Ovis aries: one gene and its partner. The protein of the gene in region 1 purifies or fractionates together with the protein of each later gene. This does not show direct contact. Links are inferred from orthologs where the notes say so. Each region holds a gene or a part of one and is shown on either strand. Other genes may lie near its edges.

Region 1 (3,500 bases):
GTGGGGAGCACTTATAGAATGGTATATTTCATCACTGTTGATGTTAATAAGAAGAAATAACCCGGTACCTTACTGTGGCTGCAGGAATCGAGATGTTTATTCCAATGTCCCCATTCTCACAAGAGGCTGGGCCACTTAAATGGCTGTCTGGAAGATGGAGAATGCCAGATAATAATAATAACTAACATTTACTATGTGCCAGGCACCACTCTAGGAATCCTAACATTTTGTTAGAACCTCCCAACAACCCTGTAAGAACTAAGTTAACCTGACTTTCCAGATGAAGATACTGAGGTTCTTAGAGGCTAAATAACTTGCCTAAGATCACAGTTAGAAGGTGACAAGTCAAGATTTGAATATAGACAGTCAGGCTTCAGAATCCACGCTCTTAGGGTACAGTTAACCCCGACTGTACAACAGAATTACCAGGGGAGATGAAAAAATAGTAACTCTGAGATTTATCCAAACCTACCCCCTACTCTAAATCGATCTGTGAAAGGCAGCAGGGTTATCTGGAGTTCAAGAACACAGTCTGAAGCCATGCTGCCTTCTGGGCCAAAAACAGGTTGTAATGAGCCACTGATAGTTTAGGGAGATCTACGGTCTTTTATGAGTATCTTCAGAATCATGAGATCAAGACTGTTTTTCAAAAAGCATTTTTTTTTTAATTAAAATTTAACCCCAAAAGAAGAGGTCCTATTCAGGAGGGTATCATATTCCCATTTTATGAACAAAGAAAATGAAACCTAAAAAGGTTCACTAACTCCCCCACATTCACTAAGGAACTGAGACTGGATCCCAGGAGGGCTCCGGGCTCAGAAGAGCCCCAGCACAGGTGGGAAGAGAGACTGACGAGGGTAATTAGGGATGCTGCAGAGGGCGTGACATCTGAACCAGACAAAGTGTGGGACAAGGAAAGACGAATCAGCAGGGTGACAGGCATGAACGAGATCAGAGGCAAGATGCCACATGGAACGCGCCCAGGACTAGAAGTAAACAGGCGCGGTGTGAAACCACAGTGCGTCCAAGGTGGGGCTGTGGGAGAGGCCTCAGACGTCTGTGTGGGTCCAGTGTGCGGGCACACGAACGACCAGCTGCACAGCTGGCCCTGGCCTTCACAGGACTTTTCCTGAAACAGACAACCACTCGAGCAGATGCCTGGAAACCTAGCCTGCGAGGCAAGCAAGGTCATGTTTCCAAATTGAACACGATGCAGAATAAAAACAGTGAAGTAGCATCCAGAGTTGAGCTACTCTGACCACTGGGAAGGACTGAGGCGGCCTGGGTCTCTGCTATCATGTCATACATTGTAAGGCAACAGAGCAAACAGTTAAAAGCAAGGCTTTAGGGTCAGATAAATCTGAGTTCTAATCCTGACTCCACTTTTACTAGTTGTGTAAACCTGCGCATTTATTTAATTTCTTTGAGCCTGTTTCCTTCTTTGTAAACTAGGGATAAAAATATATTCCTCGTGGGGTTGTTGTGAGAAATGAGTACGAAACAAATATGTAATGTGCTAACACAGCGCCTCATAAGAGAGCAAGTTCCCGACAAATAGTAGCTACTCTTCCATTCATTCAACATGTTTTTATCAAATAGGCAAACCTAGAGAAACTCATACAGCAGAGCACAGACCTTTAACGTGCCTTCAGATGGCTGCCTATTAAAGCCCTTCGCCAAGTCTCCAATTTGCAAATACAACAAAGGCAGATCATTTGCATTTACGGGATAATAAACATGGCTGTGAACTCACGAAAAGGGAAGCAATAATTTTCCCTTCTATTTATAAACTGTCTTCAAAATCTGGGGTAGGTTATCATATTTAAGAATTCAGGGTGAGTTTCAGGAAGCAAAATACTTAACCTTAATAAAACACAAAAATAAAGTAAAATCACAAACCTGGATCAACAGAAGTATTAACGGTATCCCTCACCAATCTGACTCCTCTAAAAGAGTCTCACTGCGATACACTCCTGCTACATTTAAAGGCAAAGAAAAGTGAACACTTCTACAATAAAGCAGAAAATGAGTAAGAGTCCCACAGAGCCACAGTTCTAATCGCCGATCTGCCACCAACTCCATGAGGTTCTCTGGGGCTCCTTAGACAGTATCCTGAAGTTCTGACACAGCCAAATGAATACACACACACACACACATACACAAAACACTGAGACACAGCTAACGCAGCTCATCGCTAACAGGCCACCTCAGAAGCGGCGAATTCACAAGTTCCACGTGAGGTGAGGCCAGAAGCACAAGGCCGTGGCAAGGAAACTGCGGAAAACTCCCCCCAAACACCCTGTACCTTTCTTCATCATGTCTCGGTCCAAGGCTACATTTCTTTGGGCAAGATTTACTTCTGATCGAAAATGGAAGCGCTTGGCTCGCTGCTCCTTCTTTTCAATCGCTTCCTAGAAGGTGCAGAAAAAAAGCCAAAGAAGTGAAATGTGGAGGAGAGTTAAATCACAAACATCACGTGATACACTGGCTTGACAAGCAACTCAGAAGGTATGAACAACACTGTGCCTTGCCTCATTGTTGCAATGAACAGGGTATTGGCAATGGCTGGCAGAGTGGGCGCTAGCAGTGCTGCAATCTGTCATCATCTCGAGGACGACTCAGTGCCTATCAATGTATCTGTGCAGAAACCGGGGCACAAAAAAGCTAAAATGTTTGCCAGGGGCACTTCAGCTGGTAAGGGGCAGATCTTCTCAGCGCTATTTCTAGAAGCCCCACCACCGCCCCCATTTCACATCGTCTGTGTGCATGGTAATCACACCTATCACGTTATGTCTGCCTGAGCAGTCCACTCCCTAAAGCTTTTTTTGTGTTTAAAAATAACACTGAAGCCAAGAAACTCTCTCCTCTATTCTAAACTTGTGTCCACAGAATTGCCAGTTTTCATCTTGAAGTGAAAAGAAGCACTGATGCTTTCTGAAAAACCAAATAATCAGCTTCCTAATTTTTTTTTTCCCCAAGAGCTAAAATATACCCAGGTCCAACTGTGGGTTTCTGATAGCTCTTTGGAACCTTCACTAATTGTATATTGACTTTGCCACACTAATTGAAGGTCTGACTATAGAAAGCTTCTGGGGATTGGTAAGGCAGCAACACTTCTGTTATTTCCCAATAGTTATGTTAATTTTCTCCACTGAAGTCTTCCCACTGGAAACAACTAGTTTACCTTCCTTTGGTAAGAACCAAAGTACCAATTCTTGGCTACCACCCTTTCCACTATATATTTGTTTCAAATAATGGTAAATTGTGTAGGCTTAAGAACAGGACTGCATACTGCTTTTTCAGTTTCAGTAAGAAAACACCTTCACTTCATTCTATTTTCCTGTCAAAAAAGATGATCAGTTCTTTCTTTTTGCCTTTAAGCAATCTGAGACAGATTGAGACCCAGATAAAACACAAAAAAATAAGCATGACATACTTATTTTTATTTTTGCTTTCATACATCCAATATAGTAACACCGTTTTATTTATTCAGAGTTTTA
Region 2 (4,165 bases), on another chromosome or scaffold:
CTGAAACTCCAATACTTTGGCCACCTCATGCGAAGAGTTGACTCATTGAAAAAGACCCTGATGCTGGGAGGGATTGGAGGCAGGAGGAAAAGGCGACAACAGAGGATGAGATGGCTGGATGGCATCACCAACTCCATGGACATGAGTTTGGGTAAACTCCAGGAGCTGGTGATGGACAGGGAGGCCTGGCTGCTGGGATTCATAGGGTTGCAAAGAGTTGGACACAACTGAGCGAATGAACCGAATTGAACAATCATCCATAATATGATAACAATCCGATTACACCAGCTCTTAAATCAGTTAATACCAGTTGATCTGAGCAATTTGGCAATGTACGTTGTACAATCAAACCTGAACGATTCTATTGATTCTGAAAAAACCTGCAACGCTCCAGGTAGCCATCACTGTTCACAATTCCCACTTAGGGACAAGATTATGCAAAGTTATATTTTTGTTAGCATTCTGTACTCTCGCTGGATATCCACGAAGGGAACCAGGTAAAGCGCGCCAGGCTTTCACTTAGGAACACGTGCAGGTGGGTAAGAGCTGGTAGCAAGTGTTTGGGTCAGTGCTTCTTCCCCCACCGCATAATGCCAACGGAAAGACGACTGCCCCTTGGCTTCTCATTGGCCAAGTGAATGGAGACGAGGGAGGAAACCGGACAAAAGACTAGGTCTTGCAACAGGTGCCTTAACCCTGGGACTTGGCGCCACCGACTATCCAATCAGCGGCGAGTACTGAGTTCCTCCACAATCTTCCTCATTCAGTAGTGCGCTCTATCTGCCAGCAAAATGAACGAATCCCCACACATTACGTTGCTACACAAGCCACGCTTGCTTTCACGACTTCATTTACGCTCCTCAACAGCCCAGGGATACAAGCATTATTTTTATTTCTCAGAAGATGGAACCCCACCTGAGCTACAGGGCCCGCGACCTGCAAGGCAGATGCGCGAACCCGGAGCTGGGACCACTCCTGCGGGAAGAAGGACTTTGATCCGACGGCCACTGCCGTCACCTCCCCAGCCCGGAGCTCCCGGATAAGCTGCCTGACTTGGATTCTCAGACAGCGACTACCTTCCCTTGCGGCCCATCGAGCCGTAACCAGCCGCCATTCACCCGACTTCCCAAACCAGGAAAACCCCCGCGAGGCCGCGAGTCTGCAGTCACCCCACAGGTTGTTACCACGAACGCGGATCGGGCGTTGAGTGGCTAACCCTAGCTTCCAACACCCTCCCGACCTCCGTCACCAGGGAAGCTCCCAAACGCCACCGGACCCGCCCCTGCGCCCACAAGCCGCTCTAGCCGCGCACGGAGCCGGCACTCTCGTTGCTCCCGGCCTGACGTCATCCGCGGGCGCCGCGACGAAGTGGCGGGCACGCGCAGCCAAGAAGATGTCTCCGACGCCGCCGCTCTTCAGTTTGCCCGAAGCGCGGACGCGGTTTACGGTGAGTTGCGGGCTGGTGGGCGCGGCCCCGGACCAACGCTATTTGTTGCTCTCCTCTCCCTGAAATTACTTGAATTTTGCACTGGGGTTAAGCGGGGACAGAGGCGTTGCGCCGCGGCGACGGGTTCCCGGCCCTGTCGTGGGCTGGGGAGGCGGCAAAGGCGCTTTACCTGCCTCTTCCAAGAGTCCTCTGCGGTCCGCCGCCTCCTTTCCGCTGGCGAGTCCCGGAACCCTCCGCCCTCCGTGGAGGGCTCACCCGCAGACTACCTCCTTTTGGTTCCTGCTTCTCTGCGGTGCTCGCTTAGCCAGGCGGGTGTTTCCAGAACTGGCAGGGGGCTTCTCTAGAGGGAAGGCGAGAATGGTTTTAGTCCAGAGAACAGGCTCCCGCCCCGCCTTCTAACTGCCAGGTGGCTCTTCTCGCCGCTCATTCATCACCCTTTAACCCTTTGTATCTCACTCTTAGAGATCGATGAGGACGGTCCTAAGTGGGGCGAGGCAAACTGATCAGCTTGGGAAGGGTTGTCAACTGTCATTTTATTCTTCCGCCTTGGCGAACAGTAATTTAAGCATTTGGGGAAACACTTTACAGAGCGTTTTGATCTTAGCTTATTTAACTCAGAATAGCTCTGTGAAGTAGGGTGTTTAATTATCCACAGTAGATGAGATAGAAACTGAGACAGCCCGCCCCCCAGCCCCCGCTTATGTTGTTGTTCAGTCGCTAAGTCGTGTCCGACCCTTTGCAACCTCATGGACTGCAGCATGCCAGTCTTCCTGTCCTTCACCATGTCCCGGAGATTGCTCAAATTCATGTCCATTGAGTCGGTGATGCCACCCAACCATCTCATCCTCTGTCACCCCCTTCTCTTGCCTTCAGTCTTTCCCAGCATCAGGGTCTTTTCCAGTGAGTTGGCTTTTCGCATCAGGTGGCCAAAGTTTGGAGCTTCAGCATCAGTCCTTTCAAAGAATATTTAGGGTTGATTTCCTTTAGGGTTGACGGCTTTGATCTCCTTGCAGTCCAAGGGGCTCTCAGGAGTCTTCTCCAGCACCATAGTTTGAAAACATAAAAGTTAAATTATTTGCTTCACTGTTTTCTCTGACTTCAGACTCAGTAATCTTTTTATGTTGCCCATCAGCAAATGAAGAACCCTGTTCTAAGTCGTTTGACTGTGTTCATCCCTAGTTTTCTGTAATTCTGTGAGGAGAAACTGTTAGGTGTGTCCAAGGTCATATCAGTCCTGGAAGGGACCATTTGATAGGAGATCATTTAGCCCGGTGCTTCTTAAGATTGAGCATGGGTTGGGATCACCTGGGGATCTTGTTAAATGAGATTCTGGTTCCGTAGGAATGGGGCCTGAGATTCTGCATTTCTAACAAGTTCTCAGGTGATGCCACTGCTGCTGATGGTAATAAGGATCTACAACAACCCAGATATGTAACTGATGAGGAAAATGAAGCACAGAGACAAAGGGGTATGTTCTAGATTACGAACTTCCTAACTGCCAGTGAAGGAGGCAATGGAGATGTGGGTTCATTGCCTGGGTGGGGAAGATCCCCTGGAAAAGGGAATGGCAACCTGCTCCAGTATTCTTGCCAGGAGAATCCCATGGACAGAGGAGCCTGGCGGGGTACAGTCCATGGGGTCACGAAAAGTCGGACACCACTGAGCTTGCATGCACCAAGATTACACAGCCTACTCACAGAGTCAGGAATGGACCGTTTCTAGTATAAATGTAACTTCTGGGAGGTAACAAGAGGATTTTCCAAGTGTATGTGAATTTTCACAGAGTGAATGACTTGGCAGTATTTTTCTTTTTCAGTTACGACTACTTTGTGACAGTCAGCAGGTTTAGTACTTTAAGACATCAGTGTTTACTTGATGTCAGGGACTGTGCCGTGCAAGCTACCTAGAGGAGGTGGGACTTCTGTTGAGTCTTGAAGAATGGATAGGAATTTGCATGAGCGTGTGGGAAGAACAATGTGCATGGATACACTAGAGTGAACTTGATAGAAAATGATGGGAAAAAGGCTACAGCCTAGTGGAGAGTATATGTTTGGGGTTACTGGGAAGTAAGGTTGGATAGATTGAGTGGGATAACATTATTAAGGACCTTTAGAGGAAGCTGTGAAACCAAACCTATAAATAAGGGGCCACTTAAGAGATATTTTTTAAAGCAGAATGAATAGCATATTTAAAGGAAAGGTAGGCGGGAAAACCTGGAATGAGAAAACTGAGCTTGGAAGCTCTCAACAAGCTTCAAGTGATGAGAAAGTAGCATTTGAATGAGAATTACTGCTGAACTGACAGGTAATTTTTCTCAGGTATAAACATTTTTTAGTTAGACATACAAATAATGAGTGGTATGTTTCTCAGTGAACAAAAATTCCTTCAACTTATGTGCTTTTTTTTTTTTTTCTTCTAGAAATCTACGAGAGAGGCCCTGAACAGCAAAAATATCAAGCCCTTGTTGAATACCTTTAGCCAGTTACCTGGAAGGTAAGGTATTAATATCCATGACATGGGCTCATTGAAATCTTTATACTTACCCTGAGCTGTTTTAAAAATGCAGGTGTTTTTTGTTTTTAATAGTGAAAATGAAAAAAAATGTACCCTTGACCAGGCTTTTAGAGGTGTTCTAGAAGAAGAAATTGTAAGTATGTTTTTCCTTTATTTATTGTTAAAATTTTGCTGGCAGATTAGTAAATATTGTTTTTTAATTTG

The links. The genes of interacting proteins can lie anywhere in the genome.
Region 2: the proteins of NCBP3 (region 1) and THOC1 purify together in Homo sapiens (co-immunoprecipitation; 4 studies listed by BioGRID and IntAct, with this or other methods). This does not show direct contact. The link is inferred for Ovis aries from reciprocal best matches to the Homo sapiens genes NCBP3 and THOC1.

What each region holds. Positions count from the first base shown.
Region 1 is NC_056064.1:24,361,254-24,364,753, forward strand, and holds part of NCBP3 (nuclear cap-binding protein subunit 3), read right to left. Parts: intron 2,412-3,500; coding exon 2,306-2,411; intron 1-2,305. UniProt on the Homo sapiens protein: Associates with NCBP1/CBP80 to form an alternative cap-binding complex (CBC) which plays a key role in mRNA export. NCBP3 serves as adapter protein linking the capped RNAs (m7GpppG-capped RNA) to NCBP1/CBP80.
Region 2 is NC_056076.1:35,661,604-35,665,768, reverse strand, and holds the start of THOC1 (THO complex subunit 1), read left to right. Parts: upstream 1-1,365; 5' UTR 1,366-1,393; coding exon 1,394-1,447; intron 1,448-1,616; exon of another isoform or gene 1,617-1,812; intron 1,813-2,821; exon of another isoform or gene 2,822-2,885; coding exon of another isoform or gene 2,886-2,915; intron 2,916-3,866; coding exon 3,867-3,940; intron 3,941-4,033; coding exon 4,034-4,094; intron 4,095-4,165. UniProt on the Homo sapiens protein: Component of the THO subcomplex of the TREX complex which is thought to couple mRNA transcription, processing and nuclear export, and which specifically associates with spliced mRNA and not with unspliced pre-mRNA.